Linked DNA regions of Canis lupus familiaris. The protein of the gene in region 1 purifies or fractionates together with the protein of each later gene. This does not show direct contact. Links are inferred from orthologs where the notes say so. Each region holds a gene or a part of one and is shown on either strand. Other genes may lie near its edges.

Region 1 (9,906 bases):
TTCTAAGTCAGTAGGAATAGAGTAAGGGGAGAGCACCAACCTAGCCTCTCTCCCTGCCTAGGGAGAAGGCAAGTCCTAATAAAAGGGGGGAAAGAGAAAACCAGAGAATCCCTTCTCCCCAATCTGCTTAGAAGGCTAAATAGGAAAGAGTGCCCTGCATATCCCTGCCATGATCAGACTTTAAAAGGAAGGCATCCCAGCTACCATCCTGGATTGGCCGAGGCCCAGTAAATATAAAAAATAACTTCCCCCAATGTAGTTTCCAAAACTGCATTTTGGCTAGTTTGAGATGACTTTCCACCCTGAAGGGGAAGGAACTTCCATTCTTCTTTGTTACACATGATGCCAGGTCTAAAACACTGTCCACCAGCCTTGCAGATAGATACCCCATGGGCCAGCAAAGAAGTCAAATTGTCCCCTTGGCTGCCCATCCTGAGTGCTAGCCTCATTTACTGAATTCTGGACCCCAAAAAAACAGAAACAAAAACAAAAACAAAACCCATCCAAGAACATTGTTGCTTAGCCAATGAGGAGGCCTTAGTGGGGCTATCTAGTAGGTGGGAACCAGGAGGTTTTTAGGGAGATTTCATGCTTTTAGGTACCTTCCTCATCATTATTCTAAACCTAAGTTCCCATCAACAATAGCCCCAGGCTTATCCCAAGGTTCAGCAATAGCACCTCAACCCCCAATGGGTCAGACTAGACTGGAAAAATGATCAATAAACAGTGCTCTTTCCCATCTTTTATCCAAATTCTCTCCCATTTTCTTCCGATCACTCTCTTCTTCCCCCATGTCCATCCCCTAACCCCCCAACACCGGAAACCAAGTAGCTCAACCCTAGGACATCCTCAGAAAAGGGAGGCCCCAGTAGAGACATGGAACCAGATCTAGAAAAAGCAATGAGAGAAACCAACCCCAAGGAGTGGACAGGTGTGGAAGTTGTCAGAAGCCCTCCTGATTTCATGCCAGGTAGGCAGGCTTGCTGATCTGCCTTTGTATAACATCGATGGCAGTCAAGCCCAGAGAGAACATCACCAGGCTTGGAGAACAGATTCTTGGTCTTCTGCAGCCAAGGAGTATTAAGCCTGACCTTGCTAGCTAACAGTGGGATTATCATAGCCATGCAGAGAATTCATCATCACGTAGGCAGGCAGGCCAGCAAACAAGCTTAGTGAATTGAAAAAAGGAAAAGGACAACAGGGAAAGAGATAAGTAGAAAAGAGAGGCAAGAGAGTAGAATGAAGGGAGCAAGAGACCTGTCCAAGAGGATGAGGCTGGGGTCCCCCCAACACTTTCTCAGAGCACAAGTAAGAAGCACCACTTAACCAAATCCAAGAAATCCAAAGCTTGTTGCTAACACCACTTCTCAAACTGCATGCACCATCTTTCAAACAAGAATAATCCTCAAGGTCAAGGATATTTTTCAAGTCTCAAAGATTAAAAAAAAAGAAATCAGAGCAAGAAGTCATTTTCTTGCCATTGCCCAAACTGCTTCTCTTGCTTTTTTATTTCATGAATGGCATGTGCAATGCCCAAGGGCTAAAAAATGCTTTTTAAGCCCCAGCTCAAAATCCAAATGGAGAGAGTGAGGCAAAGAGAGAAAAAGGAGAACATAAACTTGTTGCTGAGAGTAGGTGGTTACCACCAGCTCCCTATGGATATTTGCAAATGCTGGTGAATGACTGGACCCTCCAGGAACAGTGCCCTGATCCCAGCCCCTAAATGCACCCAAAGAAGAGAACATGCAGAGCCCATTGTCCCAAGAGAGCTCCCCTCCCCAAAGGGTGACTGAACACGAAGTAGACACTATATGAAGGCGATGGACAGGGCAGATGGAGTGTTGGCATCACTCTCTTTAGGCACTTGTGTAAGGAATGTAGGCTCTCCAGTGAGCTGCCTCCTCCCAGAGCCCTCCATTCTGTTCTTCAGCTGGGCTGTGCCCATGGGGCATCCCATGCCGTAGCCAGTAGGGAAGAAGTAGAGGAGGAGTTACTCAACAGTCCTGATGCCTTCTCCATAATCAATGTTTGTGCTACGTTTTGTGAAGTTGCTGAACAAAGTAGCCAACCAGAACAGAACCTGGGATAGACTGTTTTGCATAGCAAATCTGGGTCTGTACAAGGGCTGCTGGAGAGGGGAAATGGTAGCTCTAAGCACACAGGCCAGGATTCAGACTGGCCTCCAAGCCTGAGCTAGGTCTAAAGTGTCATGGCTTCATCACCAGATTGGGGCAAACCCAAGCCCAGGCTCCTCACAAAGAGGAACTTCCACACTGAAGCTGCAACTCCTCATCCCAAGCAGTGGGATAGGAAAAAAATGAACAGTTAAGGAAAGAGGGGGCCTTGCCTCAAGGCCAGCAGGCACCAAGCTAGAAACCCCCTACTTTTCCAGTTCTGCAAGATAGCCAAACCCCATCTTTATCCAGGGAGACAAAAACAAAACAAAACAAAACAAAACAAAGGCCCATGCCACCCACTCACATGCCCTAGTGGGAAACTGGGAAAAATTCATTTGTGTAAACAGAAGCGATAGGGAGCAGCAAAATCCCCCAGCCTGTCCACAGGACACACTGGAATCTGGGATGAGCCAAAGTGTCAGAGAACAGTCTAGAGAAAGGGAAGATGCACTTGCAGGAAGAGTACAGGGCAGTGCAGAGGAGGGCGCCTACAGCAAGAAAACGATATTATCTGCACAGGGGAAGGGTGGAGCCTGAGCCCCACCTTGGGGAGATAACCACTCTCCCTACCTAGCCAGGCCAAAGAATAAGTCAGGTACATAGTTCCTTCTGATGGCTCAATGTTTCTGGGATGTAAACTTATTGGGCATGGGAGGGATTTCCAGATTTTGGCAACAGACTCAAGTTATGGTATAAAAATAACATTTAGTTTTTGCTCTTTTTTTTTTTCTTATTTTAGACCTAAAGATCATTTGTTATAAGACACCCCAGTTAAGAAATATTGAAACATAATCGACTTGACCATCAGGGGAAAAAAGAAGCCAAGAATGAGAAATGCGATGTAAGTAACTCCAGACCCAGGCAGGTGGGAAGGCTGGGGGGGGGGGGGGGGGGACGACGACAGGGAGAAAAGGAGGCGTCAAGTGGAAAGGCCAAGGGCCAGTCATCTCAGCAGCTCCTAGACTTGTCATGTCTGAAAGTGCAAATGTCAATGGACTTTAACCATCTTGAGGTTGTGATCTTTTTAAAAGCTCAATGAATATGGAAGTTAATTCCTTTGAATGCAAAGTAGCTGGCGCTCTGGCTAGAGGCTTGTTGGGTTAGGGGTATTTCTTCCCCACCTACCTCCTCTCCCACCCCCACCCCATCCCCCCAAAGAAAGGTACAAAAGGTTGCAGTTCTGCAGCATTACCGTTACAGGGAAGGCACTGGTTACCCACCAGTAGGCGGAAGGAAGACAGGGTCGTGTCACTTCAGAGCTAAGTGCCATAGTGCCTTAAGTCTTACTAGGGGCTGGATGTCTGTCAGGGAGGAGGTGTAAGGTGGGGTAGACAAAGTAGAGAGAAAGGAATAAGGGAAAAAGGGGTGTCAGCTGGGGGAGGAGCAACCAAAATCATTAGCATTAAAAATCTTCCTACAAACTGGATTTTCAACCCATTAAAACATCTAGTATTCTAAAATATTGATCTGGGTCTGGTTTCGTTTTTCCTCTTAAACAAATCTAGACCTTTTCTGATTAAGGCTCCTAAAAAATCCTTCCCTCCTCCCACCCACTTTCTCAAGCCCCTCACTCTCCCATCTAAAGTATCAAACCCAAACCTACCAGCTTTTGTCCGCGGGGCTGCAGAGCCGACCTTAGCAAGCTGTCAGGCATGAGTCTTTAGCACTGTGAGTCACATGAGACACCTGTGTGTATGGTGGGCACCAGTGCTGCCCCTCTTGGTCCAGTGGGGTCAGGGCCAGATGTGACAAGATGGGTGGAGGGGTGGGGGTCATGAGGTGGACATCAAAGATTTCTGGCTGGTGGTCTGGCTTACTGGCCCTGTTCCCCACCCTTTTGCCCCCTTTGTAGAAGGAAACAAGGCCTTCTGAACTCCTCCCTACCCTCCCTCCTCCTCCTTGCTTCCTCTGGATTTGGGCGGCACAGCTCTTGGGGCTTGGAAAGCTTTCTTCTATCCAGTGAGGTAACAGCGTTCTGCCTTCAAGCGAAGTACATGGTGCGCAGAGTATCCTGGTGAACCTGCACGGCTTTGGCCAGGGCCTGGGGGTCCCGCCCATTGCTCTGCCCCGATATGTGGCTCCCCTCTCCACTGAAAAGCAAAAATGAAAGAAGTCCTTCCTGGTGCACTGAGCTGCTGCTAATCCATTCCCCCATTCAGAGTACCAATTCCCATACCAAGTTAAGAGAAAGCCCCAACCCAGATTTGGGCATATGAGCCCAAAGATACCATATTATATAATATTCATTTCCTTCTGCCCAAGGAAAGTTGAGAGGATCTAGTACCAGAGGCTGATGCTAAAGGAAAGCCACCTTGATCCTAGGCCTCACCTGTCATGTTCCTTGTCCACTAGGTGGTATCGTGCCCGGAAAGCCACCAGGCGGGCATAGTAGGCAGGTGCTGGGATAGAGACGGAGCGTGTGCATCGTACGTAAGTGTGGCACAGCTGGTACGTCAAGATCTGGAGCTCATCCGCTGTGAAACGGTTGTCATCCCAAAGGACATAGTAATGTGATGGTCGGCTGGTGCCCTGGGAAGATAGGAAGGTGAGGGGGCCCCAGGTTGGGCAGAAGGGATGGCCAATGCTAAGGAATAGGATCACTATTAAGAGTGTGGTGGGGGATCCCTGGGTGGCTCAGCAGTTCAGCACCTGCCTTCCGCCCAGGGCGTGATCCTGGAGTCCTGGGATGGAGTTCCACATAGGACTCCCTGCATGGAGCCTGCTTCTCTCTCTGCCTGTATCTCTGCCTCTGTGTGTGTATGTGTGTGTATGTGTGTGTGTGTGCATCTCATGAATAAATAAATAAAATCTTTAAAAAAAAAAAAAAGGAGTGTGATTGGGTTGGAAGACGCACACACAAAGCTACCTATGTCACAAAATACCCTTGTTACGGGCAATCCTGCTTAAGATGCTCAAAATGTACTTCTGTTCATATACGCTAAAAGCTTATTAAGAGAATAATCCTGTTCTGAATGCCCTCAGTGACACCTGATATATTTTAGAGACAATGGGAATAATCAATTCATTTTTGACCCATTGGAAACCCCTGGACATAGCCCGGCTACCTGGATGCCTGCATGGCTGCACAGATAGAAGTCGAACTCAAATGGGTGGGTGATGTTGGTGTCCACAGTTGTCCCAGCTGGGATGTTACCACTCTTCCCAATCTGTATAGAGACAAAGACAACCAAGATCCCAAGATCCCAAGGTCTGCCTGGCCCACCAGAATCTCAAAAGTAAAGCAGAAGTTGCTGTTCCTAGAGGATATTAGATATTAAAATAATGGGCTTCTACTGTCACACAGACCTGATTTTACCATTCATTAGCTGTGTGACTTTAGCAAGTCATTTAACTTTTTTGAGGTTAAACTGGAGGTAATAATACCTACCTCACAGGGCTGCTGTGAGGAAGACACCTCGTACAGTGTCTGACATATAACAGAACTTCAATAAATAGTACTTCTCTTTTCTTCTCTGGGAGCTGGTCTATAGAGGGGTCTACAGGTGAGGGAGCTAGGAGGAAGGAGCCGGACTATAAAGGCAGGAGGGGACAAAAGGAAAAAAGGGAAGGACAAGAGCTGGGGGAAGGGGCCAGAGACAACAGACAAACCAAGGATTAAATCCCCAAATTTATCTCAAGGGCTTTTTCCATATTAAGAGAAGGGACACAGGATAAGGGTATGAGTGGCTTCCTCAATCTCTTACTCACTCGTTCATTCTTGTCAGCACAAAAAAGGCGGGTATGATGGCGTTTCTGCACTACAATGTAAGTGATCCCAGGCTGGTAGTCCTTTTCCAGTTTGATGCAGGCATCACGAATGGCCAGCAGCTCATAGTGCAGGATCTAGGCACGAGTGAGAAGGGAGACAAAGAGACATATAGCTTCTCCTAAGTCACATCTGTGTGAACTACGAGGTTGCCATTTGTATATGGCTTTTTGCTCAGTCTCTTTATAAGCTGACACCCAACCATCACAGATGACAGAGCCTTCCTGTAAAATTTGTCTTATACTCAGTTGCCATGATATGTTGCTAAAAAACCTTGGTTGGGAGGCTGGCATCAGCAGAGAGCACTCACCTGGTTCATATATAAAAAGACACAGAACCAAAGTACACAGACATCACTAATATCACAATGCCCAAAGTAAGGTCAATTTCAGAATCAGGAGGATAATAGGAATTCCCCCTGAGCTCTAAGAGCAGACAGTGCTGAGATCACCAGAGAAGAGCAGACACATAGTTCAGGAATTGATACAGAAGGAGTAGATGAATTCAGTCCTACAAAGAAGCAGGATTATAAGAAAATGGGCTAAAGAAGAACCCACAAGTAAATAACCATAGGCAATAGTTGCCTTGTGGCCTTAGAAGTCAGATATAGGGAGTCAAAACTGTATGGTAGAAAATGGACGGAATGGAAATCAATTAGAACTAGGTTTAAACCCAAGCTTTATTCAGTTATATTCCTATTAGCAAGCTGCTTAACCTCCTAAGTCTCATTTTCTCCACATCTACTAAAGTTAGCCTCACAAAACTGTTGTGAAAAGTGTAACAGATTAATTAAGTAAAAGTATAAAAAACCTAGTAGGGGCTTAATAACTCCTGATTGCTTTGCTAAGCAGTTTGAATTTTATCCCAAGACTATGTGAAGCTACTAGACATTCCTGAACAGAAAAATGATAGTATAAATTTGTCTGCTGTTTTAGGGAAGACTGGATGACTTAGAGAAAACTGAGAAATGGATGAGAGCATAAACTCAAATCACACCAATTTGTCTGAATCCCAGTTCCACCATTGTTTAGCTTGGTTGACACTGAAGATATCATTTAACATTTCCAAGCCTCAAGTTTCATCATCTGTCAAATGGGATAATTATTATTTCATAGAGTTTTTCTAACCATTAAGTAGAACACATATGAAGTGCTTACCACAATTCATAGTACATAAGAGGTGCTCAATAAATAACAGCTGTATTAATATTAAGTGGTAGTCAAGGAAACCAGTTCATTATATACTCTGAACAACAGAATATGAAGACTTGGCAGGGACAAAGAATAGGAGGAACATTCTGAAGGAAGCTCAACAGCAGTAATTCTCAAAGTGTGACCTCCAACCAGCAGCATCACCTATGTAGGAACTTGTCAACTACAAATCCTAGGAGCACCTGGGTGGCTCATTCAGTTAAGTATCTGCTTTTGGTTCCGGTCATGATCCTGGGGCCCTGGGATCAAATCCCACATCAGGCTCCCTTCTCGGTGGGGAGCCTGCTTCTCCTTTTCCCTCTATCACTCCCCCTACTCGTGCTCTGTCTCTATCTCAAATAAATAAGATCTTAAAAAAAAAAAAAAAGGAACTATAAATTCTAGGGACCATCCTAGGCCTTACTGCCATTTAGCAAAGCTCTCAAAGTACCACCTCCCAATGCCAATAGCTTTAAAAAAGGGAGCAGTACTCTCTGCACCCATTAGGCCCTTTGGCCCCAATGTGAAGGTTTTCTTCACCTACTTTGGGCCCTACCTGGGGGAGCTGGCCTTCAGGAACCCCATCTCGGTAGAAGATGATGCGGGTAGGCTTGAAGCGGGTAGACTTGTAGAACTGGATGAGCAGCTCACGCACCATGTAGGATAAGTCTTCAATGATCTCCTGCCGGGGTCGCTGCACCCGCACAGTAGCACAGTAACGGCTGGGGTGGGCATCCATACTGCCTACCACCTAACAATCAAAGAGGCAGGATCAGCCTCCAGAACTTCCACCCTCCCAACACTGTTAGGATGTGGATTTGGGGAAGGCTTCTTAGCAAGAAAACTATGCAATCAAATTAGTAGGGTTTTGGATACAATGAGTCCTGGTTTCAATCTCTATCATGCATGCAGAAGTTATTTAATCCATCTGATCTTCTTTTTCCTCTCAAATAGATAAGAATGCCACCTGCTTACAGTGCTACTCCTTGCAGGGATGCCTGGGTGGCTCATGGGTGAGCATCTGCCTTTGGCTCAGGGCATGATCCCAGAGTTCTGGGATCGAATCCTGCATTGGGCTCCCTGCGGGGAGCCTGCTTCTCCCTCCACCTATGTCTCTGCCTCTCTCTGTGTCTCTCATGAAAAAATAAGTAAAATCTTCTATAAAATTAAATTAAAAAAAATAAAACACCTTGCATAAGACCTAGCCCACAGTAAGTACTTGGTAAGTTCGATTTTCTTACCCCTTGCAGGAGGGTAATGTGAAGGTCTGGCACTACCAACTCAAAGAGCTACAAGTTTGTCCTTTTCTCAATTTAAGTACTAATCTACCCAGTAATCACAATGAAGAGTGTTCCTGCAGGAGGTAGGAGTAATATCATTTTCAAAGGGGACGTGGCCAGAGCCTAGGATGGACGGCCACAAGGAAAACAAGGATAAGCATAGCATAGTATTTACCTGCATTTACTGTGATTAGCCCCGTTTGCCTAGAGAAATGTGAGGGTTGAGAAAAGAGAAGTGGGAAGAAAGGCCTGATCCCTAGCAATTCAGAAGCCCCTAGGGATGGGGAGCAGAGAAGCTAGAGAGGGATTGGAAAGACAACTAATCTATTAGATGGATCAGGGGTAGGGATGGGGAAGAGGAAAGAACAGTCAGTCCCAGCAACTAGGTAACCACGTTAAAAAGGATTTCAGAGAAGAGATATGGTCTTTCCTATATCCCAAAAGTGGGCATGGAGAGAGAGAGAGAAATTTGAACACAGAGCAAGAGTGATGGAGACTGGTCAAAGTCTCTGGCCACCGCCTACACTCTCACTGCTCTCTCTGAAAAACAGATACCATACAGAGTTAGTTTAATGAAGATACCAAGGGAGTGGTTAATGGGGATGATCAGCTGGAAAAAAAGTTTTTATGAAGGGTCAAGCATCAGAGCTGAGGCAAGGATATTATGTGCAGTCTTCGAAGCTCAGAGCTAAAATGAGAACCTTAAGAAGAAGCTGGAGAGTATCACTCACTGCTGTGATAGAAGGTTTTTTCCCATCCCCTGCTGGGGGGTGTGTAACATCTGCTCCCAGGAATATCACTGGCTGTTGAAAGACGGCAGAGCTAAACAAAGAAGAGAAAACAAATGGTGAGGAGTTGGATCTTCTCTTCCTGGCACCATCTAGTACCCATTTTGGTCATCTCTCCCTTGTGTCTGATTCACTCTGCCTGGCCAGAGTCCTATCGTTTTGACAATCCCCAACATGGTACCTTGCTTGACGGGGCAAGTGGGCAACAGAGATCATACCGCTGGTGTGGGACTAGGATGTTGTTAATGCCACCAAGTTTGACATTGATCTTCAGGCAGAGGTTGGATAGAGTCTGAGGCGAGGTCTTGACCACATTCTTCACTTGCACACACTGTGTAGCCATTCCCAAAAGTGTATCTCCAACACGTTTCACTTCAGCTATAAGCAGGGAGAGAAGTAATTAGTGCGTTCAACAAATATTTACTGAATGCCGATTAGATGTCAGGCAGGATATAAGAAGGTAAGAATACAGTGATAACCAGAAACATAGAGTCCCTAATCATAGTGGTTACTGTCTAGTGACTAATCTAAAAATCATGAGAAGTACAACAATGATAAATGCTACAATAAAAAACTTCATGAAGGTATGAGAGCATATATCAGGGGATAATAACCCAGCCAGGAAAGGACTAAATAATGATAAAAATGAAACCCAGTGGTGGAAAATCATTAGAAGAGGGGTGGAGTTGGGAGAGCATTCCAACC
Region 2 (10,006 bases), on another chromosome or scaffold:
AGGTCGCAGCTCGACCCGGCCTCCGGTCCCGTCACCTCGGGGAGCGGCCGCGGGCGCCAGTGCACAGCTGTGGCCACCGGGGGGCAGCAGCGCTTCGCTGCCGGCGGCTCGGGAGCGGGGACGCGGCGACCGCCACCCGCCGCGGCCGCCCTCCCGGCGAGCCCGTCCGCGCCCCCCGAGCCGGGAGAGCAGGGCGCGCCCCGAGCTCCGCGCCCGCCGAGGGACGGGGTCCCCCGCAGGCCCCCAGGCCGGGCTCTGAGCGAGCCCGCGGCGGGCGACGCCGCTTGGCCCCGCCGACGGGCTTAGGCAGCGAACAGTCGAACCGCAGGCTTCGGGCCGGGCCGGCGGGGAGGGGGGGGCGGGGGCCGGCAGGTGTAAGAGGCGGCGCGGGCGGCGTGGACGGGGCCGGGACTGGAGCCGCGCTGCTGCCGCCGTCGGGGCCCTCGCGGGGAGTTAGGGGCCGCGTCCTGGGGCCGCTCCTCTGGGATTCGCCGCCGCCTCTGCCCCCCCGCGCAGTAGGCCCCGCGCCCCGGGCAGGGTGGGGGCTCCGGGAGCGGCGGGCGGCCGAGCCCGAGCCGGGAGGGGCCGGCTCCCCATTCTCGAGCCTGGCCGCCCCTCAGCGCTTCGGGAACAAGTGACGTCATCCCTCCATATGTTTGCACGCGGGGCTCACGAGGAAAAGTGCCCTGTCCCCCCCCCCCCGCCCCCCCAATAAACCTGCCTGCCTCCTGAATGCACGTCTGTGTGAGGCTCGAAAGGCGGGGAGTCCCCAGGGCAAGCAGCACTGCCCCCTCTGTCGCCACCAAAGCGGCTCAGCAGGGCCACGGCCGCGGGGTCCTGGAGGTCACTGCACCCGGCCTCGGCCACCAGGAGGGCCAGCGAGGGGACACGTGGGGAATAAGGGGGGAAGCCCAGGGAGGGCAGCCGGTGCCAACCCCTCCGCCCCCGCGCTGGGCCGCACCGGGAAGAACCACTCGGCAGAAGCCCAGAGGCAGTGGGTTTATTCTGGGCTCCAGGGGACCCCCACCTCATTCCCACCCGCCACCGGACAGGGGCGGATCTCGGGCCAGCGAGGCCCCGTGGGCCCTGGCTCCCGGCAGGCAGGCAGTCTGTGTCAGAGGTGGAGGCCGGGGGGAGCCGGGGTGCGCAGGGAGGCCAGGGGGCTCTACTTGCTGCCCGCCATGATCTTGAGGTACTGCAGGGCGCGCCGAGCAGCCTCCCCACGGGCCGCCTCCCGGGTCGTCGCGGAGCCGTGACACACGGTGGCCGGCTGCGTGGACAGCTCCACCAGGCACTGGCACAGCCCGCTCAGGCTCAACTCCTCTGGGGGCGGAGAGAGGACGGAGGCGCGTGGGCCGGAGGGCAGTGCGGGCGGGGCGCCACCCGGTCGCCAGGCCTCCCCAGGACCGAGGCCCACGCAGGCCCACTCGGGCCAGGCCCCGCCAGCCCCCGCCTCCCCGGCCCTACCGATATCCAGGTAGCTGACGTGGAAGGCCTGCTCCTCGGACAGCTCGCTGAGGACACTGCAGCAGGCAGGGCCCAGGGCACCCAAGGCGCCCAGGGAGCAGCTGCGCAGGGACAGGATCTTCTCTCCCACGGAATTTCGCAGAGAATCCCAGGTGCAGCCCGGGCCCCGGTTCCGAAGTCCATCGAGGCGGGAGCCCACACCCTGACGAGGCGGGCAGGTGAGAAAGGTGCGGCCTCGGGCTGAGACCCGGCGTGGAACAGACGCCCGACGCCCCGGAGAGAAAGCCCGCGGGTGAACGCCTGGCCAGCCTGCCTCCCCCTCGCCGCCCGCTAACCGGTGGCCGGGGCCCCGCAGCCTTCCTCACTCTCGGCCCAGCGCGCCCAGCAGCCCCGAGCCGGGGGCCAAGCAGGAGCACGGGCAGGGGCCCCCGCGGCGGCTCATCCGCGTGCCGGGCCCAGGCCCCCAGCGGCCGCCCGGCCCCACAGGCCACTCACGATGGAGAAGTGATCGTCATCGGGCTCTGCCTCGGTGCCATCCCGGGCATCCAGGGGCACCGTGTGCACCCGAAGCAGCATCTTGGCCGCCGCGTTCCGCTTCGCCAGCTTTTTGGAAGTGCCGCTGCCTGCGTGGGGGAGAGGCTGCTGCACTCGGCTTCCCGGGCTCTCCACCCAGCTCAGGGCCTTGGGCGGGGCCCCCTCGCGGGACGTGCACTGGAAAGAGCCCTCAGGCGCTGCCACGGCCCGGGCCCTGGGCAGCAGGAAGGGGGGTAGGGGCTAGGAGCTGCCCGCGCTCCCGTCTGCCCAGTTACCGATCTCAATGAAACGCTCCACGCGACAGGTCATGGTAAACTCTTTGCGGTGCGCCGGCCCGGACTCCTGGGTCACCGTGTACTCAGGCAACCGCCAGCCCTTCTGCACCACCAGCTCCTTGGGAGGGAGGAACGGGGGCGCACGAGGCTGAGTGAGGACAGACCCCCGGGCCCCCTCCCTCCCTCCCGCCCTAGGGGAATCAAGGGGGTGGGAAAAGCCCTCCGAACGGGTAAGAGCCCCACACAACTGCCCTGGTGGCCCCGGGTTCAAGGACAGACAGGCATGCACACGACGGAGGCCGGGGGCACACCTGCAGGGCGCCAACAGGATTGCACTCAGACTGCTGAGGGGAGACGGGGGGCTGCGCCTCCATGGGGGGGCTCCTGAAGGAGGAAGGGCCGGGCCGAAGTCCATGGGGCTGTCCCTTCTGCGGTGCCCAGAGTCCCACGCCCTGTGCCGGTGTCCCCGCTCCCATCTCCCTGGTCCCCGCCAGGCGGGCAGCTGTCCATGCAAACACCCAGCCTGCTTCCTCCCTTCCCCACCCAGGTGAGGTCTCCTCCAGGGCCCAGGCCCATTTGGACTTTCTGGAACACCGGACCGTCGCCTTGCCAGGACAGTGGGAGGGGGGCTGTATATCCAGTCCCTGGAAGCACCTGATGGGAGGCACACACAGGACCATCACGTGGCCAACTCAGGAGAAAATGGGGCCTGCAGGCCCCCTGACCATGGCCAAATGTCCTCTCTGTGGCTATTTAAGAATCGTGGATTACCTCCTGTCCCAAGAGCTTACCAACTGAGGCAAAGTCTTCAAATTCTGGTCCCCAACTATTCCATCCTCTGCTTACTCTCAGACTTCCTCCTGCCTGACCAGCCTGGGTCCAAAGGCTGGGGGGCCAGGAGCCGGGACCCCTACCTCCCCCCTTCAGGCAGGCAGGAACACAAGATACCTGGTTGGAACAGCAGATGGAACAGGAGTAGCAGCCGCTGCAGCAGTAAAAACTGGAATGTCCTCAGGCAGTGAAGAGTCTAGGGGAGAAAAAGAACTTCCCGAGGGGAAGGGGGCCTTTGATTCACACCCATGTGGGCAGGGGTGGGGTGGGGAGTAGAGGGTGGGGACCCAGGTCCTCCTGACCTGCCCGTCCCCTAAGAAAACCCCTTCCCACTGGAGCCAAAGACTCAGGGAAGCTTAACCACCACCTTCTGGGATCCTTTGCTGCCAAACACTGGATCAAAGCGACTGAGACAAGGGGAAAGACGGTCTCTTCCTACACAAGAGCCACGGAGGCAACAAACCCCAATGTAAGTGTGCAAGAGGGGAGGACAACCTGCTAGAGAGAGGAGGCGTGTTGGGGTGCGACCCCTCTAGCCTCAGCCTCCGCCCCTTTCCCTCCCTAGCCTGGGCCCACACCACAGCCACAGCCCCTTGACATCCCCCCACAGGATCCTTCACAACAGCGGGAGCCCTGGAAGCATCCCGCCCTGTCCGGCCAGGTCAAGGTGGGCAGAGGAGGTAGCGCAGGGGCCTGGGTTCCTGGCCGGGTCTCTACGAGGCCTCGGCTGGTCCTCCCTCACCTGCTGTCCTCCAGGGCCGGCTCCAGCATGCTCCCCCCTTTGAGGTGTTTGAGGGCCACCTCAGCTGCCTTGTGCTTGGCTGCCTTCTTGCTGGGGCCCTGACCTGAGAGAGGGGCGTGGGCGATACTGGAGGTCACTAGGAGGACAGAAAAGCCGGCACCCACAGCTTCTCTCCTCAGGGCTGGAGGGAGTCAACCAAGCCCCTCTCACCACCTGCCCCTGCCCAAGACCGGAAGTGCTGCGCTAATTACTAGAAGGGAGGGCTTCTGCTCCCCAGAGCTCCCCAAATCAAGCCACGCCAGGCACGACTGCTCTGGAGCTCAGACACCCTGGGCAGAGACGCTTTCCCGGCTCTCCTTGCCTCTGGGAAGTGCTTTCTTTTCTCTCAATACATAGAGATGTCTGGGAAAGTAGAAAGAGGGCAGGCTCCGGAGTCAAGGCCCCGCTCCGCCACTTCTCAGGCCCGGGACCTTGCACCACTCACATCCACCCCGAGCCTTGGCTCCCTCATATTCAGCTCGGAGGTGCTATCCCCCACATCCCTGGATTAGACTGCGATTTAAGACGAACTAGGAATTTGGTCAAGCACCTGGAACAGAGCCCAGTGCAGCAGGCACTCACTCCTTCGAAACTTCGCTGAGAGTTTGGTTCATCCCGTCTTTCTCCTCTAGGATGACGACAATGTGCCAGACCCCTCTGGCGGTCCTGCTTGCTCCTCTAACTCTCCGGAGTCCTACCCGCCTCCTCAAAGACCCGTTCCCCCAAACGAGTCCGTGGCTTTTCCCCCTGAAATCTCTCCTTCCCTCACTGGCCTTGGAGCAAAGGACTGGGGAGAGACTCCAGGACACAAAGCCACCAGGGCCCTGCGGATGCACACCCCAGCCAGGCTGCCCAAGCCTTCCTCACCAGTGCAGCTGGTGTCGCCAACGGTGACCCGGAAGGTGAAATTAGGCTGGTGGGCTTGGCCCTCGGCTTTGAGAAGGTCGTACACGGGCGTCTTCCCTATTCTGGTCCCATACTCCTGCAGAAGGCTGATCGGGGTCTTGCCCGGGTTGGCTGCCAGCATTTGCTCTATACTGGGGGAGGCGGGGGCAGGGGGTCACGGACCCTTATCACACCTCCAACTCTGCGCCCACCCGGCCAAGCACTGTCGTATCAGACCCAGGCACACTATGGGGGGACACGGGTCCAGGGGACCCCGGGCAGTACAGCACACATTGGCTGGGTTCAGTGTGGAGTAGAAGCGGGCTGGAAGCCGGGTCCACGGCCCCCAGAGCACGCGGGCAACGCACTGTTCCTGTCTCAGTTAAGCAGGAGGAGGATCCTGCACCCCAGTGCAGTTAGGAGGTGCATGTCCCCACACAGTGCAGCCCAGGGACCCGGTACCCACCAAACGCACTGAATGTCGGGAGCACAAAGCCCAGTGCCCCAAGTGCAGTCTGGGAACCGGGCCAACCCCAAACTATTTAGAGCAGGAGGCCGTGGCCACTGCCGGGGTGCATGCCGGGAACCACGGCCCACTACCCCGGTGCTTGCCGGGAACAACCCTCGGGCCAGGTGCATGCTGGGGCCGCGCCGCTACCACCTCCGCGCCGCGCCACGCTTCTCGCCCGGCAGGGGTCGGCTCGAAGCGGCTCACCTGGGCAGCCCGCAGCCCGTGGTGGTGCCGGAGCCCTGCTCCTCTTCACTCATTCCCACCTCCGTGCCCGCGGGCCCCACCGTGACTGCAGCCTCCGCGCGCCCCAGAACACCGCCGACGAGCTAGGGCCGGGGCCGAGCCCCGAGTCGCGGCCGGTCGGGCCCGCCGCGGGGCATGCCGGGACATGGAGTCCCCCGCCCACCCGCCTCCCCGAGTCTCCATCGGGAGGGGAGCCGCCCGCCCCACAAGCCCCCGCGGGCGTCGCCCGGGGATGCGGCACCGCCTCCTGGGAGGAGCGGAGCCTTCCACGGTGGCCTCCCGAGCGGAGGGTGGCTTTGTGTCCGTGTGTCCGTGTGTCTGTGCGTGTGAATTTTTTTTTTTTTTTAAATAGCGTCCCGCCTCTTTTCCGCGTCTCCGCTCCCCGGAGTGGGCATGCGCGGGAGCAGAGCGGAAGCGGCTGGGGGCGGGGCGCTAAGGCCTAACCGGAGCGCCGGGTCCGCAGGCTCCCGAGGAAACTACAGAGACCGGCAGCTCGCGCGCCATCTTTGTCGCCGCGCAGGGGCAGGCGCAGGCGTGCGCGGAGAGCTCCGCGATAGGATTGGTCGTGTCCGATTGCGCTGGCTCGCTCTAGGCACGTTGCGATTGGTTACTGAGCCTCGAGGGGCGGGGCCAGGAGCGAGGCAGCCCCTCGGCCCCGCCCCTTTGTTGAGGAAAGGCTGCGATTGGTCCAGGGAAGAGGGGCTGTCGCACCCTGGCTCGGCGCGGGCTGGGGGTGGCCTCACCTGGCCGCGGGAGGAGAGCGCTCGAGCCCCTCCGCGCTGGGGCCGGCCGGCCGGCGGCCCGCAGTTCCTCCTCGCTCCCGGCCCCGGGGCCTTCGTCTCACAGCCCCTGCTTCGTGTTCCCGGGTTGCCCTTCATTCCCTGCCCCTAGTTCTGGCCCGCAGCCTGTCTGGTTTCAGGTCTTCTCTAAAGCCTTGCTGGGCCGTCCCCAGGGAACCTCTCCGTAGGTGGCCCGGGACCCTCTCTGGGGCCTGAGAATCGGGCTGTAGGGGCGACAGCATTAGGACTCACGCACACCGTGGTCTCGTTCCCGCGGCTGTGGGTCTGGGGTCTCTCGGCCGAAGAGACAGCAGGAGAGGACTCCGGCCTCTGAACGCTAACCCGCTAACTGGGTGCAGAGCTGCAGCCCCTCCTCCCTAGGGTGTCCCGGCCACCGGGTTCAAAGATGTAGGAGAATCTCGTGACCTTGGCGAGACACCACGAAAATGCCTGGTTCTAACGAGCGTCCCGAGGCTGGGCCAGGTAGTGGAGAGCCGGGGGAGCCCCGGAACGGCGCTGAGGAGCTCGGGCACTAGGCTCGGCGGATTCCAATTGGGTAGAGCCGGAGTGGTGACGGCGACGGGCAGGGCGGCTGGCTGGCTCGGCAAGGCAGGGGGAGCCGCGCCAGAGCGCTGGGCGGCCGGGGTCCCCGCGCGGAGGGGCTCCGTCTCGGGGCGTAGCAGGCAGGGTGTCCGACCGGCCACAGGGGGCTCCTCGGGGACCAGCCAAGGCTCGAGGTGCGACGGCCACCCGACCCCGCCTGCGGGGAGGCGCGGGGCCCCGGAGGGCCGGGGCCGGGCCTGGAGCGCGCCGGATGGCAGCGGCGGGCTCCTTTAAGAGGCCGGCGGCTCCAGCGCAGCATCCCCCGCTCAGGGCGTGTCCGTCCCGGGGGGCCAGGGGCGGGGGCCTCGGAAGGAGCGGGAGTTCGAGCCGAGTGGGGACGGGGCTAGGGGTCGGGGGGTGGGGGGAGGACGCCGGGGCCGACAGCCGTGCCCCCGGACGCCGCGCGAGCCTCGCCGGTGACGGCGCCCCGGGTCCGGTCGAGGGCAGCGGGGGGAGGAGAGAAGGAGGAGGAGAAGGAGGAGGAGGCGGGAGCAGCATCCGGAGCCGAGCTGCAGCAGCGCCGCCTTTTGTGCTGCGGCCGCGGAGCCCCTGAGGTGAGAGCCTGGCCGAGGTGGGGGGCGGGGGGCAGGGAGGGGTCCGGGCCCCGGGGTCCGGGCGCGGAGGGAGGGTCGGGAGGCCGAGGTGGCGGGGTGGGGTGGGGTGGCGCGGGGATGCTGAGGCCGCGGGGCGGGGGAAGCGGGGACCTGGACCCGACGCCCGTGGGGATGGGAAGGGGGGGGACGGAGCGGAGGGACGCCGCGGCCCAGCCGGGAGCCCGAGGGCCTCCGGGGCTGGAAAGCACCGTACGGGGCGGGGGTGGGGGTGGGGGACGGCGGGGGCACCGACGTAAAGGACAGCGGGCAAGAGAACATCCTCCTCTCCTCCCACTCATCCTCCCGGAGGGGGAGAGGGAAGGAGGAGGAAGAGTTCGGGCCCCTCCGGGAAGGAAAGGGAGGACCGGGCCTGAGGTGCCCAGCGGCCCCCTCCCCTCCGCCCCCCTCCGCCCCCCTCCCCTCCCCTCCCCTCCCCTCCCGCGCTCTGCCCGCTGCACCTGAGGATTACAGGCTGCGAGCACCTGTTCCAGGATGCCCAGGTGAGGGCCTCCCCCTGCCCGCTGCTGCCCCCAGCCCCCTCCAGCTGTGCCGTTCACCTTCTCCATCCAGCTGTTGCTTCCTCCCCTCCCCCATTCATTTGTGGTTCTCTCCCTCTTTCTCTCCAGCTCCTCTGACTCCCCTAACCCAGTTCCCCAGCCCAGGCCTCTCAGGAACCTCCTGCCTCTGCCCCACACATTTCTCAAACTCCTTGGCTAGAAAATGAGCAAGAATCTGTTCCCCACAGTTGTGATCCCTGATCACTTTGGCCTCGGTGGAGGGGACGGAAGAGAAGGGGCCAGAGGCTCTACAGACCCGGGAAGGGGGTCGGTGGGGTGTCCCTTAGCATAGAAGAGTCCCACCTTCAGGGACTTGAGCTCCACACCTGCTCCCTCTGGGGAGGAGAGGGGGTGGCCCTCCACCTAGGAGTGCGCCTGAGGTCTCTCCCCCACCCAGAGTCCTCTCAGCCGCAGCCAGTGCCTCCTTCCGACTGGCAGGATGGACCCATGGCTCTGGGAGTCCTGGGAGCCCTGGCTGTGGGCTCAAGGGTAGCACCGGGGAAGGCGAGCACGAGGGCCCTGGAAGGAAGGGGCTCAAGGGCTCCCTGGCCTTCCTGTCCAGACAGCAGAGTTTCCCGGAGCGGCACGCAAGGCCTGCTCTCTGCCATCTCACGCTTCAGGGTGGCCAAAGGTGCTTGCCCTCCCGAGCCCGCCACGCCTCCACCCTCACAGCGGGGACTGAGGCCATGCTGGGGCCACCGAAGGCGGGATACCCCAACTCCATGAAAACACAAGTAAAGACCCGTCCCCGAATTAAACCCGGTTATGGGCAGAGGAGGCAAGAAGTTTAAGTGAGGACTGGCTTTGGACGTCCTGTGCATCCTCACAGCTAAGGGTGCAGGACGCCTCTCAGAAGCAACCGCCATTCCCCAGTCCTTCCCCTGGAGGTGATGATCTGGTCGTCTGGTTTTGCTAGGAAGACGACCCCGAATCCTAGTGCCCAGCACCCCAGACTCACCCCGTGGCTTCTCACACGCAGTCCTCCCTCTCCCCTGCGTGGCCTTCTAGGAGTCCCTTGTGGGGCAGGAGGCTACTACGGAGCCAGGCGAGCAGGTGACAGGTGGGCTTCATGAGGGGTTGGCCACAGAGACTGGTCCGTCGGCTTCATTTGCTCCCAGAGGGACCAGGGTCATCCTTGTTTCGGGAGAAGGTGATGAGGCAGGGACACGATGGCAGAGGAGCCTAAGGATCACCCAGGACAAAGAGCCCTTGGCCTTCGGTTCCCTCCTTTTGCTCTCCTTGCCCCGCCGTGTGCACCGCCCTTTGCACCTGTGCCCTCTGCTGCCGTCGAGGAAAAGGCGAGGAAGGGAAGGGAATCACATTTATAAAAGAAACGCCGCTGCCACTTGCTAGGCACTTTCAACATGGCTTGTGTTTCTGGGGACGGTCCTGTGTGCCCTGTCCTGGGCCAGGAACTTTACTGCGATTATGTCGCTCGCGTTTCAACCAGGCTAAGAGTCGGGGCGTGTTCTCGTCATCTCGGTCTTAGGGATGAGGAAACTGAAACCTAAAGAAGTAATCTGTTCAAAGTGAAAAAAGCACTTTTGGGGGAGAGTTTAGGTCTTGAACCCAGGCCCACCTGACCCAGAACCACCCCGTTATAGACTGTTGGGCCACCGTGTGACCGGGGTACCGCGGTTCCCATTCAGAGGAGAAAAAGGTTTGTTCAGGAGTCTCCTGGTCCCTAGCTCGCCTGCCTGGTCAGGAGCGCAGACGGGACCTCAGCCGAGCGTCTCTGATCCCCAGGCCACCCGCTCTCCCTCCATAGCACACGGTCCCAAGCTAGGTGACAGGAACAGACGGACACTGATATTTATTGCCTCATTTTCAATTTGAAATCGATTTTTTAATTTTAAAAGCAATTCAAAGTTATTACTGAAATATTAGACAAATATAGATAAGCCACAAAAAGAAAATAAAACACCCACAATTCCACCTACCTAGAAA
Region 3 (10,006 bases), on another chromosome or scaffold:
GCCGGGGCGGAGCGGCGTCGTCCGCAGAGCAGCCCCTTCCGGCCGCCGCCGACCCCGGCCCGGCCCGGCCCAGCCTGGCTCTATGGACAGGAGCTCGCTGCTGCAGCTTATCCAGGAGCAGGTGCGTGGGGGGCGGGGGGCACCACCGGGAGACCTGGGGCCCCTGCTCCCCTGCCTGACGCTCCGGGAGAGGGCGGCCGCGGCTGGGGACGCAGAGGAGGGAGGGAGCCTGCCCGCCCGGAGGATGCGCAGGGCGGGAAGGAGGTGGGGAGGCCGAGGAGCGGTGGAGCGGGAGCCCGGGACCCGCGGGTACGGAGGCCTGGCCCAGGGAGCTGGGAGCCCGCCCCTCTGCTGGCCCGGCCCCGAGGCCGCCCCACCTCAAGCCTTGGCCGATGGCCGCCCCCCGACCCCAGCAGCTGGACCCTGAGCACACAGGTTTCATCGGTGCGGACACCTTCACCGGCCTGGTGCACAGCCATGAGCTGCCCCTGGACCCGGCCAAGCTGGACATGCTGGTGGCCTTGGCCCAGAGTAACGAGCGGGGCCAGGTCTGCTACCAGGAGCTGGTGGACCTGGTCAGTGCCACAGTGGGTGGACGGCAGGGTAGGGGCCCGGCCGAGCGGGTGGGCAGGCAGCCCCCACGCCTGCCCTTCCCACCTGGGAGGGGTGTGGACGGGGGCGGGGACTCAGCCTCCACCAGGAGCAGGGGGGGGTAGCAAGGGGGCAGGGTGGCTCGGGGCGCAGGGAGCACGGTGGCCCATGCTTAGCGCCCCCCCAGATCAGCAGTAAACGCTCGAGCAGCTTTAAGCGGGCCATCGCCAACGGACAGAGGGCGCTGCCCCGGGCCGGGCTGCTGGACCAGCCGGGCCTGGGTGTCTACAAGCGGTTCGTGCGCTACGTTGCCTACGAGATCCTGCCCCGAGAAGTGGACCGCCACTGGTACTTCTACCGGCACCGCAGCTGCCCGCCCCCCGTGTTCATGGCCTCAGTCACCCTTGCCCAGGTGTGCCTACCCGCCCGCCACCCCGGAGCCTCCCCGCGCCCGGCCCAGCCCAGCCCTAACGCCCCTCTCCCCCAGATCATCGTGTTCCTGTGCTATGGGGCTCGTCTCAACAAGTGGGTGCTGCAGACCTACCACCCCGAGTACATGAAGAGCCCCCTGGTGTACCACCCCGGCCACCGCGCTCGAGCCTGGCGCTTCCTCACCTACATGTTCATGCACGTTGGGTGAGCGGGGGCCCGCCTCTGGTGTCCCCGTCGGGTAGGGCTGGTGGTCCGCCGCCACCAACCTCACATCTGTTTACACCCACATGGCCAGCCTGGAGCAGCTGGGCTTCAACGCGCTCCTGCAGCTGATGATCGGGGTGCCCCTGGAGATGGTGCACGGCCTGCTCCGCATCAGCCTGCTCTACCTGGCCGGGGTGCTGGCAGGTAAGGCAGGCACACGCCCCCCGGCCACTGCACCGGCGAGCCTCCTGCTCACGGCTCTCCTTTTGCTCACACAGGCTCCCTGACTGTCTCCATTACCGACATGCGGGCCCCTGTGGTGGGGGGCTCTGGTGGGGTCTACGCCCTGTGCTCCGCACACCTGGCCAACGTCGTCATGGTAATAGGGCAGACAGCGGGGCGGGTGTGGGGAGGGGCCCATAAGGCCTGCCTCACAGCCTGTGTCTCGCGCCCCATCAGAACTGGGCTGGGATGAGGTGTCCCTACAAGCTGCTGAGGATGGTGCTGGCCTTGGTGTGCAGTAAGTACGGGGTCAGGGGGCTGAGAGGGGCCTCAGCCTCAGGCCAGAGTGCCTCCCACCTGCCCACCTGCCACCTTTCTCTGCAGTGAGTTCTGAAGTGGGCCGGGCCGTGTGGCTCCGTTTTTCCCCGCCACTGCCTGCCTCCGGCCCCCAGCCCAGCTTCATGGCACACCTGGCAGGTGCAGTGGTAGGAGTCAGCATGGGCCTGACAATCCTGCGCAGCTATGAGGAACGCCTGCGGGACCAGTGTGGCTGGTGGGTGGTGCTGCTCGCATATGGCACCTTCCTGCTCTTTGCCATCTTCTGGAACGTCTTCGCCTACGACCTGCTAGGCGCCCACATCCCTCCACCACCCTGATGGGCTCCCCAGGGCCCCATGGGTCAGGGCACTGGTGTGTGTGGGCTGGCTGCCAGGCGAGCCTGCACATCTGCCCTCTGTGAATGTACACCTTGAGACTGCTTCTCCTCCGTAGGGGCAGGTGGCCCTCGCAGCCCACTGAGTCCAGGCCAAGCCTTACATCAGCCCTGGCCACCCCCTCCCAGGCCTGGGGACATAGGACTGCCTGGCCAGGCAGTGGAGGTCCCCAAGTGTGGCCCTAGGGAGACCCTGCCCCTGCCTCTCCCCCACAACTTGCGGTCTGAGCCTTTTTGGAGAATGAATAAATATTTTACACAGCAGGAGGTGGCTGCAGTGGGCTCTGGGGGCTGGCCCCAGGGGCCCGCCCGGCCCTCGCACGGCAGCCCAAGCTCTCCCGGTGCTCCCTGCACCCAAACCAGGCGTGCGCGTGTGGCGGGTGTGCGAGGAGCTGGGGTCCTCACAGGCAGCGGAGACTGCAGCCCAGCCGGTCGCCCGCCCTCCGAGAACCCTGTGGCCCGGGCCCAGCAGGGTTCAGCCAGCCTGGCTTCTCTGCGCTTCTGGGCCGGCGCGGTGTCCTTGCGGGTGGCCAGGCTGGGGCGGGTCCCACGCGGGGAGGGGTCCCGGGCCTGAGGTCCCGCCCGGGCGGGGACAGAGGGGGGCGGGGGCCCGGGCCCAGGCCATGCGGCGCTCGGGCCGGCTCTGCCTGCCGCATGCACCCCGCCTCCCCAGGGCCGCGGGCGGCGGGCGCGCGGCGGCCTCGGAGCTCCTGCAGCCGGGGCTCGAGCCTCGCCAGCGTCTGGGCAGGCGGCTCCCGCGCACCCCCGGGGTCACGGCCACGGGCCCCCCGGCAGGCGACGACACTCACCGGCCGGGCCGAGGTGGGCTGGGCGGGGTGGGTGGGGGAACCTCACCCGGAGCCCCGCCCCCCGCTTCCACGCCGGCGGCCACGTGCTCCTCCGCTCCGCCCCCGGTGGCCGCGGGGAGCCCTCTGGGGCCTGGGGAGGGCGGCGACGGAGCCTCGGGCAGCGGGGTTCGGCCGTCCTGCCACCGCTCCAGAGCTTCCAGCCGTCCCTGGCGGCCGCGGCACCTCCCCGTGCGGCGCCAGGACCGCAGCCCCGCGGCCCTCAAGGCCCCACGGCCGCGCAGCCAGCCGGCGGCCGCCTAGTCCGCGCGGGGCGGGGCCTCGGCGGGGCGGGGCCTAGGCGGGGCGGGGCCTCGGCGGGGCGGGGCCGCGCTTGTCGCTGTCCCGGACGTCCGACGTCGCGGGTCGCGTTCCCTCGAGCGCATGCGCCCAGTCGGTCCCGCCCCCCCTTGCCTCCGCGGCCCGTCGGACGCAGGCGCGCCCCCGCCCGTGCCGCTGGCCCCGCCCCGCGCGGCCGGAAGTTCCGGTGGCGGATCGCTGGACCGGGCCCGAGCGGATCGCGGGCTCGGGCTGCGGGCTCGGGCTGCGGGCGCAGGGCGGGCCAGACGCGGAGCCTGGGAGCGAAGCCCGGGCTGTGCCGCGCGGCGCTATGAAGGGCAAGGAGGAGAAGGAGGGCGGCGCGCGGCTGGGCGCCGGCGGCGGAAGCCCCGAAAAGAGCCCGAGCGCGCAGGAGCTCAAGGAGCAGGGCAACCGGCTCTTCGTGGGCCGCAAGTACCCGGAGGCGGCGGCCTGCTACGGCCGCGCCATCGTGAGTGCGCCCGCGCCGGGGGAGGGGGCCGGCGTCCGGGCGGGGGAGTGGGCGGGGCCCGGCTCGCGGCCCCGCGTCCTCCCCGGAGCCCCTGCCCCGCCGCTCCCGCCGGACCCTCGGGGCGGTCTTGGTTCGCCCGCGGGGGCGTTTGGGCCCCGAGAACTCGGTGCTGATCATGTTCCAGTCGAGCCAAGGCCGCGCGGTTCTCGAGCCAGTGCTGGTTGCTGGAGGGGCGGGTGGGAGCTTGAGGGGTGCTCGAGGCCCCAGGCCGGGACCAGGGTTCCTGTCCCTTGAGAAGCCCAGGCCCGAAGCTGGGGCTCTCCTCAGGTCCGGGAACCTCACCTTTACAAAACCTCCTGGGAGCCCCGAGAGGGTGGGCTAGCGCAGGCCTGAGGACCGGGAGTTCACTCTACAGCCCTAGCTGAGCAGAGGCTTCCAAGCTGAGAAATTTCTAGTGTCTGGATTTTAGCTACGGGCTCCCAGACCAGGACAGGGCCTAGGACAGGGCCCACGGAGCTTTTTCCCTCATGCTGGCTGGCCTGGCCTTGGTCCCCAGACCCGGAATCCTCTGGTGGCCGTGTACTACACCAACCGGGCGTTGTGCTATCTGAAGATGCAGCAGCATGAGCAGGCCCTGGCTGACTGCCGGCGGGCTCTGGAACTGGACGGGCAGTCTGTGAAGGCACACTTCTTCCTGGGGCAGTGCCAGCTAGAGATGGAGAGCTATGATGAGGCCATCGCCAACCTGCAGCGAGGTGGGCCTACAGGTTGTCAGGGGACGGCGGGGGCGCCTGGGACCAGGTGGATGGACTGGCCAGAAGGTGACCTGAAGCCCCTGTTCCCCCAGCCTACAACCTTGCCAAGGAGCAGCGGCTCAACTTCGGGGATGATATCCCTAGTGCTCTGCGCATCGCCAAGAAGAAGCGTTGGAACAGCATCGAGGAGCGGCGCATCCACCAGGAGAATGAGCTGCACTCCTACCTCACTCGGCTTATTGTGGCCGAGCGGGAGAGGTGGGCTGTGGTAGCGGCAGGCTCCAGGGCCCCACCCACCCCCAAGGCAGCACTCTGGGGTTAACTGAGTCAAGAACACAAGTGTTTATTGAAGGCCAGCACTGGCGAGCAGTTGGAGGGAAGAGAGACCTGAACAAGCCTGAGGTTGGGGTGGAGTGTGATCTCTTCTGGCCAGACCCATTCCTGACTAGCTCCTGGTCGACCCCCAGGGAGCTAGAAGAATGCCAGCGGAACCACGAGGGTGATGAGGATGATGGCCACGTCCGGGCCCAGCAGGCCTGCATCGAGGCCAAGCACGTGAGGGTGCCCCAGCCCACGTGTGGATGTGTGCGTGTTTGCGTGCCTGTGACTGGAGGGTGCCCGGGGGAGGGGGAAGGGGCATTTGGCCCACGCGTAGCTGCTTGGTTCTCCGCAGGACAAGTACTTAGCAGACATGGATGAGCTTTTCTCCCAGGTGGACGAGAAGAGAAAGGTAAGCTGTCTGTCCTCTGGGTAGCAGGAATCGGAGCCGGGTCCCCATCCTGGTGCCTGACCTGACTCCATGTGCCACAGAAGCGAGACATCCCGGACTACCTGTGTGGCAAGATCAGCTTCGAGCTTATGCGGGAGCCGTGCATCACGCCTAGTGGCATCACCTACGACCGCAAGGACATTGAGGAACACCTGCAGGTGAGAGCCAACAAGAGTGGGGAGCAGGGCCCGTAACCACTGAGCACTTTCTGACCTGCTGTCACTGCACACTGCAGCGTGTGGGCCACTTTGACCCTGTCACCCGGAGCCCCCTGACCCAGGAACAGCTCATCCCCAACCTGGCCATGAAAGAGGTCATTGATGCATTCATCTCCGAGAACGGCTGGGTGGAGGACTACTGAGGCCAGGCGAGTGCCAGAGCTGCCTGCCTTGCCTAGTACCCTGGCCCAGGTGGGCTTTGGGGCAGTAGCTCCCAGTTCCTGTACATAGTTTGTGTCCCTAGATCCCTGCCCTGGTGTCCCTTATCCCACCCTCATCAGTTCTGCTGCTGGACCATGAGCCCCACCTCCACCCCCTTCTGGGCCAGAAACAGCAGGTGAGGGTGGGCTGCTGCCACCACTGTCCTGTAATAAAACCTGTGAGCACTATAGGGGTGTGTGCTGGTGTGTGCTGGGCTCACCAGCCGCCCACTCTACCTAGCCGAGGAAAGTAGAGATAAAAACACTGGTGTCCAGGTTGAGCGTAGCATGCCACCACCGGTCAGGGAAATACAGCACCTGGTGGAGGGTGGGGCACAAGGATTAGCTGGTGGCGTGTGATCCAGCCTGACCCCTTCCTGCCACCTACTGACCTCACCAGCCTGCACGGTGCACTCCAGGGGCCTCTCAGATGGTGCCAGGGTTGGGTACACGTCCTGAAGCCAGGCCAGTGTGGTTTTGTTGGGGTGGAACTCAGGTGTCTTCTCAGGGGGATACAGGAACCAGCGCTGAGGGTGAGATCAGCCCGTCACTCCATGTTGGCAGGCAGTAAGCCCCAAGCCGCAGCCCCGGCCCGTGCTGACCTTGCGGCCGTAGATCACCTCTGAGAACCCGGGCCCGTGCCAGTGGAAGGGCACCCCAGAACCAGCTCCTGTGGGGTCAGTTAGGAGCACTTGCTGACGCAACCCCACCTGGCGCATCCCCTTCCTCCGGCATGCCACGTGCAGGGTACCCACCTGCGATTCCAAAGCTGTAGGCAGCAGTGGTACCTAGCAGACTAAACGGAGGCGGGGAGTAGTGCTGGAAGAGTGAGGCCCATTCGCTGAAATCGTTGTCCCCGAAGAAGTACAAGGTGTCTGCCAACACAGAATATAGGAGGCGCCCGGGTCTCAGCACCTGTGCTTGTCCACATGCCCCCAGCCCAGCCCACGGCCAACCAGGTGTTACTCACCGTTGCCCAGGGAGCTAGGGTCTTGGGGGTGCAGTAGGTGCTCCACGTAGTCCTGGAAGGGCAGGTCCACTGTAGGAAAGGGCCTGGTCAGGACTGGCCGAGACCGCCTGCAAGTGCCGGCAAGCAGGTGGGGCGGCGGCGCGCGGCAGCTCACCTTTCCGGTAGGAATAGGTATTGGCGGTGCTCAGCCGGACCACGCTGTCCCCGAACGAGGCCAGCAGCCGTTCTCGGGAGCACAGGGCCCGGAAGCGCTGGGGTGGGGTGGGGTGGGGAGAAGATTCAAGGGCGGGCCGGCGCGGGTGGAGAGGCCGGGCGGGGCGCTGCACTCACCGAGTTGTCCGTGAGCCGCTGCAGGATGACGGGCCTGGAGAAGGCGTACCTGGAGGGGCGGGGCCGCAGCGGGTCGCACCGGCTCGGGGGAGGGGCGCGGGGGCCGGGCGGAGGGGCCGGGGCGGGAGGCGGGTGTGGGGGCTGCACGTACTGCTGCACGAACTCGGCGTAGCTGAGGTCCGCCCGGCGCTCCACGGCGCAGCGCTCTTCCTCCGCCACGGCGGCCGGGGCCCCGGGCCCGCGCCTCTGCCTACGGGCACGGCCGTCAGCGCCCCGCCGCCCCCCCAACCCGGCCGGCCGCCCGCGGGTCCCGGCCGCCCGCCCGCGCCGCTCACCACCCTCCGTCGCCCGTGTCCCCGGCGCCGCGCAGCACCGGCGCCGCCAGCGTCCAGACCGCCAACAGCAGCAGTGGCCGCGCCCCCGGCGCCATGAGCCCGCCGCCGCAAAGCCTGCCGGGAGCTTCGTTGTCGTGGCAACAGCGCCCGGCCCGCCCCGGAAGCAGCTCCTTTGGCCCGCCCCGGAAGGCGGAGCGGCCGCCGCGGGTTCCCATGGCGACGACACCGCCCACCCAGCGGAGCCGCCCAGCATCGAGCTGGCGGCACGAGCGCACGCGCGGGTGACGCGTGTGACGGGCGGCCTCACACTGCGGCTCCTGCTTCCTTTATTCGGTCCCCACGCCCAGCGCCTCCCGCCCGCGGCGGTCAGGAGTACTCGCACAGGTGGCCGCAGCCCGCCGGGCAGTGCGAGCTGCCCTCCAGCCACTTCATGATGTGCTGCAGGTGGCCGCCGTGACTGCAGCCCTGGCACCACACGAACAGCCCCTTGACCACGTGGTGGCACACGGCGCACATACTGGCGCAGCGGTGGCAGCGGTCACAGACCCAGCCGCGGCTGCTCATGGGCCGCTTGCAGTGGCTGCAGTTGACATGCAGGGTGGTGGACGCCTGGTTGAGGCAGCTGATGGCGCGGCTGGTGCTGAGCTTCACCACCTGGTTGGACACGTTCCAGAGGCAGAAGCGCTGCAGCAAGTCGATGTAGGACGTGTACCAGTGCTCCTGGGGCGGCGGGAGGGAAGGAGGCCGGAGGTCAGTGCGCCGGCGGCCCTGGGGTGGCAGGGACGCCCTCCCCAGACCCACTCACCCACCTGGGTCTGCTCGTCGATGTCCTTGCGCACTCGTTCGCCCAGCACGATGAGCACGGACACGGCCATCTGCACGTCACCCTGCTCTGCATAGAAGCGCAGCATGTCACACACCAGGGCGCTGAAGAAGTCGGGCGGCAGGCGGCTGTCGTAGAGCGCGTGCGAGACGGAGATGAGCGAGAAGGAGGAGTCCACGGGCACCATGGAGGCTGCATCAGCCTCACTGCCGCTGACGTGGGGCGAGTCAGCCTTGTCCTGCAGGTGCTCGGGCCCCGGCGGAGTGTCCACAATCTCATGGCGTAGCGGGAAGGCCTCCTGCGGCAGCACGTACTCGGGCTCCTCCGCTGAAGGCAGGGTCAGGGAAGGCAGGGTCTGAGCCTCCCGCCCCACCTCCCAACCCCACTTCCCCAGCGCCCACTCACCATGTGCATGTTCTGGCTCCAACAGGTACAGCTCGTCCTCTTCGCCCTCCACGTCACCCAGCAGATAATCCGCAGGCACGTCGCTGCCCTCTGTCTCTTCGTTATCTGCCCATAGGGGAAAGGGTGTTCCAGAGGAGCTGATTCTGGGAGGCCCCAGCCCTACTCCCACCAGTGCCCTGTCCACCCCCGCAGCCTACCCTCATTGGTGAGGAGTGTGGCTGAGGAGTCCAGCAGCACTGTGTCGCTCCGTGTGTCACCCTTGCTACGGTCCAGTCTGGTCTCACTGCCCAACCCTGGCGCCATATCCTTCAGGTTGAAACTGGGGGCAGGGAAGGCCAGTGGGTAGATGGGCTCCAACAGCCCACCCTTAGGGCGGAGCCACCCCAGATGGCTACCTGTTCATGAGTGGCAAGCCGCAAGAGCTGCCCTTGCCCACGCTGTGGTTGAGGTTGGTGGCAGACGCCAGGCCAGGGCTACAGTAGATGATCCTCAGCATGGTCCAGGTCTGTGCTACCTAGGGGAGGATGCCAGGCACTCACCGGGGGCCTGGGTCCCTGGCACCCCATCTAGCACCCTCCACTCCCACCTGGATGGAACCACAAACTGTCAGGTTCTGCTGCCCCAAGCACCCAATGTACTGGCCCACTCCAGCTGGGGAACTGAAGCCTGTGCCAAAGACAAAAATCCTAGTCTCGATCCTACGAGGGGATAAGCAGAAGCAGAAACTGGAGGCAGTCAACATGCAAATCGGTCTGTGGTCCCAGGAAAACAATGAGAAAAGCCATGTCGACCTCTGCAGGATCAGACATCTTGAAAAATCCAAAAGCAAAAATGAGCCACAAGCGGGGCTGGAACACTAACCCCCCAGACCTGCACCCTAAGGATGCACCGCCATCGGGTCCGCTCCAGGCCAGCGGGTATCCTCGGTTACCAGGGTGGTGGCTGGTGGTGGCAGCCGCCATGCTGAGCGGTAAACACAGGGCAGGGTCCGGGTATAGCAGTTGGGGGAGCCCCCAAGGTCACAGGTCCTGGGACCCTCTCAGGCCACACTGCCTACCTGGTTGCGGCCAAGCTCCCGAGCCACTTTCGCATTGTGGTCACAGAGCTCAGCCAGAGGCCGGCCAGCCAGGGCATAACGTTCGGCGGTGTCCACGAACCAGCTCATGCTGCCACTGCCAGGCTCTATCTCAAAGACACTGAGGGCACTGGACGCGAGGCCCACGAAAGGCTCGGAAGGGTCCAGTTTACGCTTGAAGAAGATGGGGTGGCGCCGATCACCAGCATAGGGCTTGCGCCCAGACTCGGTGGCCACTAGGCTCTCCTTGGCAGCAAAGGCCAGGTCCCCAAAGAGACCATAGCAGAGGCCCTCGGGGTTGGCGCGCTCAACAGGCTGGCTGGCGTCACGGAACAGGTGCTGGCACAGCGT

The links.
Region 2: the proteins of AGO1 (region 1) and TARBP2 purify together in Homo sapiens (co-immunoprecipitation; 4 studies listed by BioGRID and IntAct, with this or other methods). This does not show direct contact. The link is inferred for Canis lupus familiaris from reciprocal best matches to the Homo sapiens genes AGO1 and TARBP2.
Region 3: the proteins of AGO1 (region 1) and STUB1 purify together in Homo sapiens (affinity purification with mass spectrometry; 3 studies listed by BioGRID and IntAct, with this or other methods). This does not show direct contact. The link is inferred for Canis lupus familiaris from reciprocal best matches to the Homo sapiens genes AGO1 and STUB1.

What each region holds. Positions count from the first base shown.
Region 1 is NC_049236.1:6,332,369-6,342,274, forward strand, and holds part of AGO1 (protein argonaute-1), read right to left. Parts: intron 9,580-9,906; coding exon 9,420-9,579; intron 9,236-9,419; coding exon 9,145-9,235; intron 7,885-9,144; coding exon 7,690-7,884; intron 6,021-7,689; coding exon 5,886-6,020; intron 5,345-5,885; coding exon 5,243-5,344; intron 4,707-5,242; coding exon 4,507-4,706; intron 4,268-4,506; coding exon 4,159-4,267; 3' UTR 1-4,158.
Region 2 is NC_049248.1:44,927,799-44,937,804, reverse strand, and holds TARBP2 (RISC-loading complex subunit TARBP2), read right to left. Parts: upstream 5,827-10,006; 5' UTR 5,542-5,826; coding exon 5,489-5,541; intron 5,398-5,488; exon of another isoform or gene 5,240-5,397; intron 4,926-5,239; coding exon 4,756-4,925; intron 3,953-4,755; coding exon 3,850-3,952; intron 3,321-3,849; coding exon 3,225-3,320; intron 2,661-3,224; coding exon 2,588-2,660; intron 2,395-2,587; coding exon 2,277-2,394; intron 2,091-2,276; coding exon 1,963-2,090; intron 1,670-1,962; coding exon 1,468-1,669; intron 1,324-1,467; coding exon 1,166-1,323; 3' UTR 984-1,165; downstream 1-983. UniProt on the Homo sapiens protein: Required for formation of the RNA induced silencing complex (RISC). Component of the RISC loading complex (RLC), also known as the micro-RNA (miRNA) loading complex (miRLC), which is composed of DICER1, AGO2 and TARBP2.
Region 3 is NC_049227.1:40,359,960-40,369,965, reverse strand, and holds STUB1 (E3 ubiquitin-protein ligase CHIP), read left to right. Parts: upstream 1-3,503; 5' UTR 3,504-3,616; coding exon 3,617-3,775; intron 3,776-4,331; coding exon 4,332-4,530; intron 4,531-4,622; coding exon 4,623-4,788; intron 4,789-4,848; exon of another isoform or gene 4,849-4,997; coding exon 4,998-5,085; exon of another isoform or gene 5,086-5,203; coding exon 5,204-5,260; exon of another isoform or gene 5,261-5,340; coding exon 5,341-5,457; intron 5,458-5,534; coding exon 5,535-5,660; 3' UTR 5,661-5,908; downstream 5,909-10,006. Other genes in the region: RHBDL1 (rhomboid-related protein 1), read left to right, coding at 83-121, 414-575, 779-1,003, 1,079-1,227, 1,319-1,431, 1,506-1,606, 1,687-1,747, 1,834-2,105; JMJD8 (jmjC domain-containing protein 8), read right to left, coding at 5,955-6,035, 6,110-6,244, 6,320-6,387, 6,473-6,592, 6,688-6,756, 6,842-6,938, 7,018-7,267, 7,353-7,447; GATOR complex protein WDR24, read right to left, coding at 7,719-8,072, 8,162-8,502, 8,581-8,685, 8,778-8,899, 8,976-9,094, 9,638-10,006. UniProt on the Homo sapiens protein: E3 ubiquitin-protein ligase which targets misfolded chaperone substrates towards proteasomal degradation.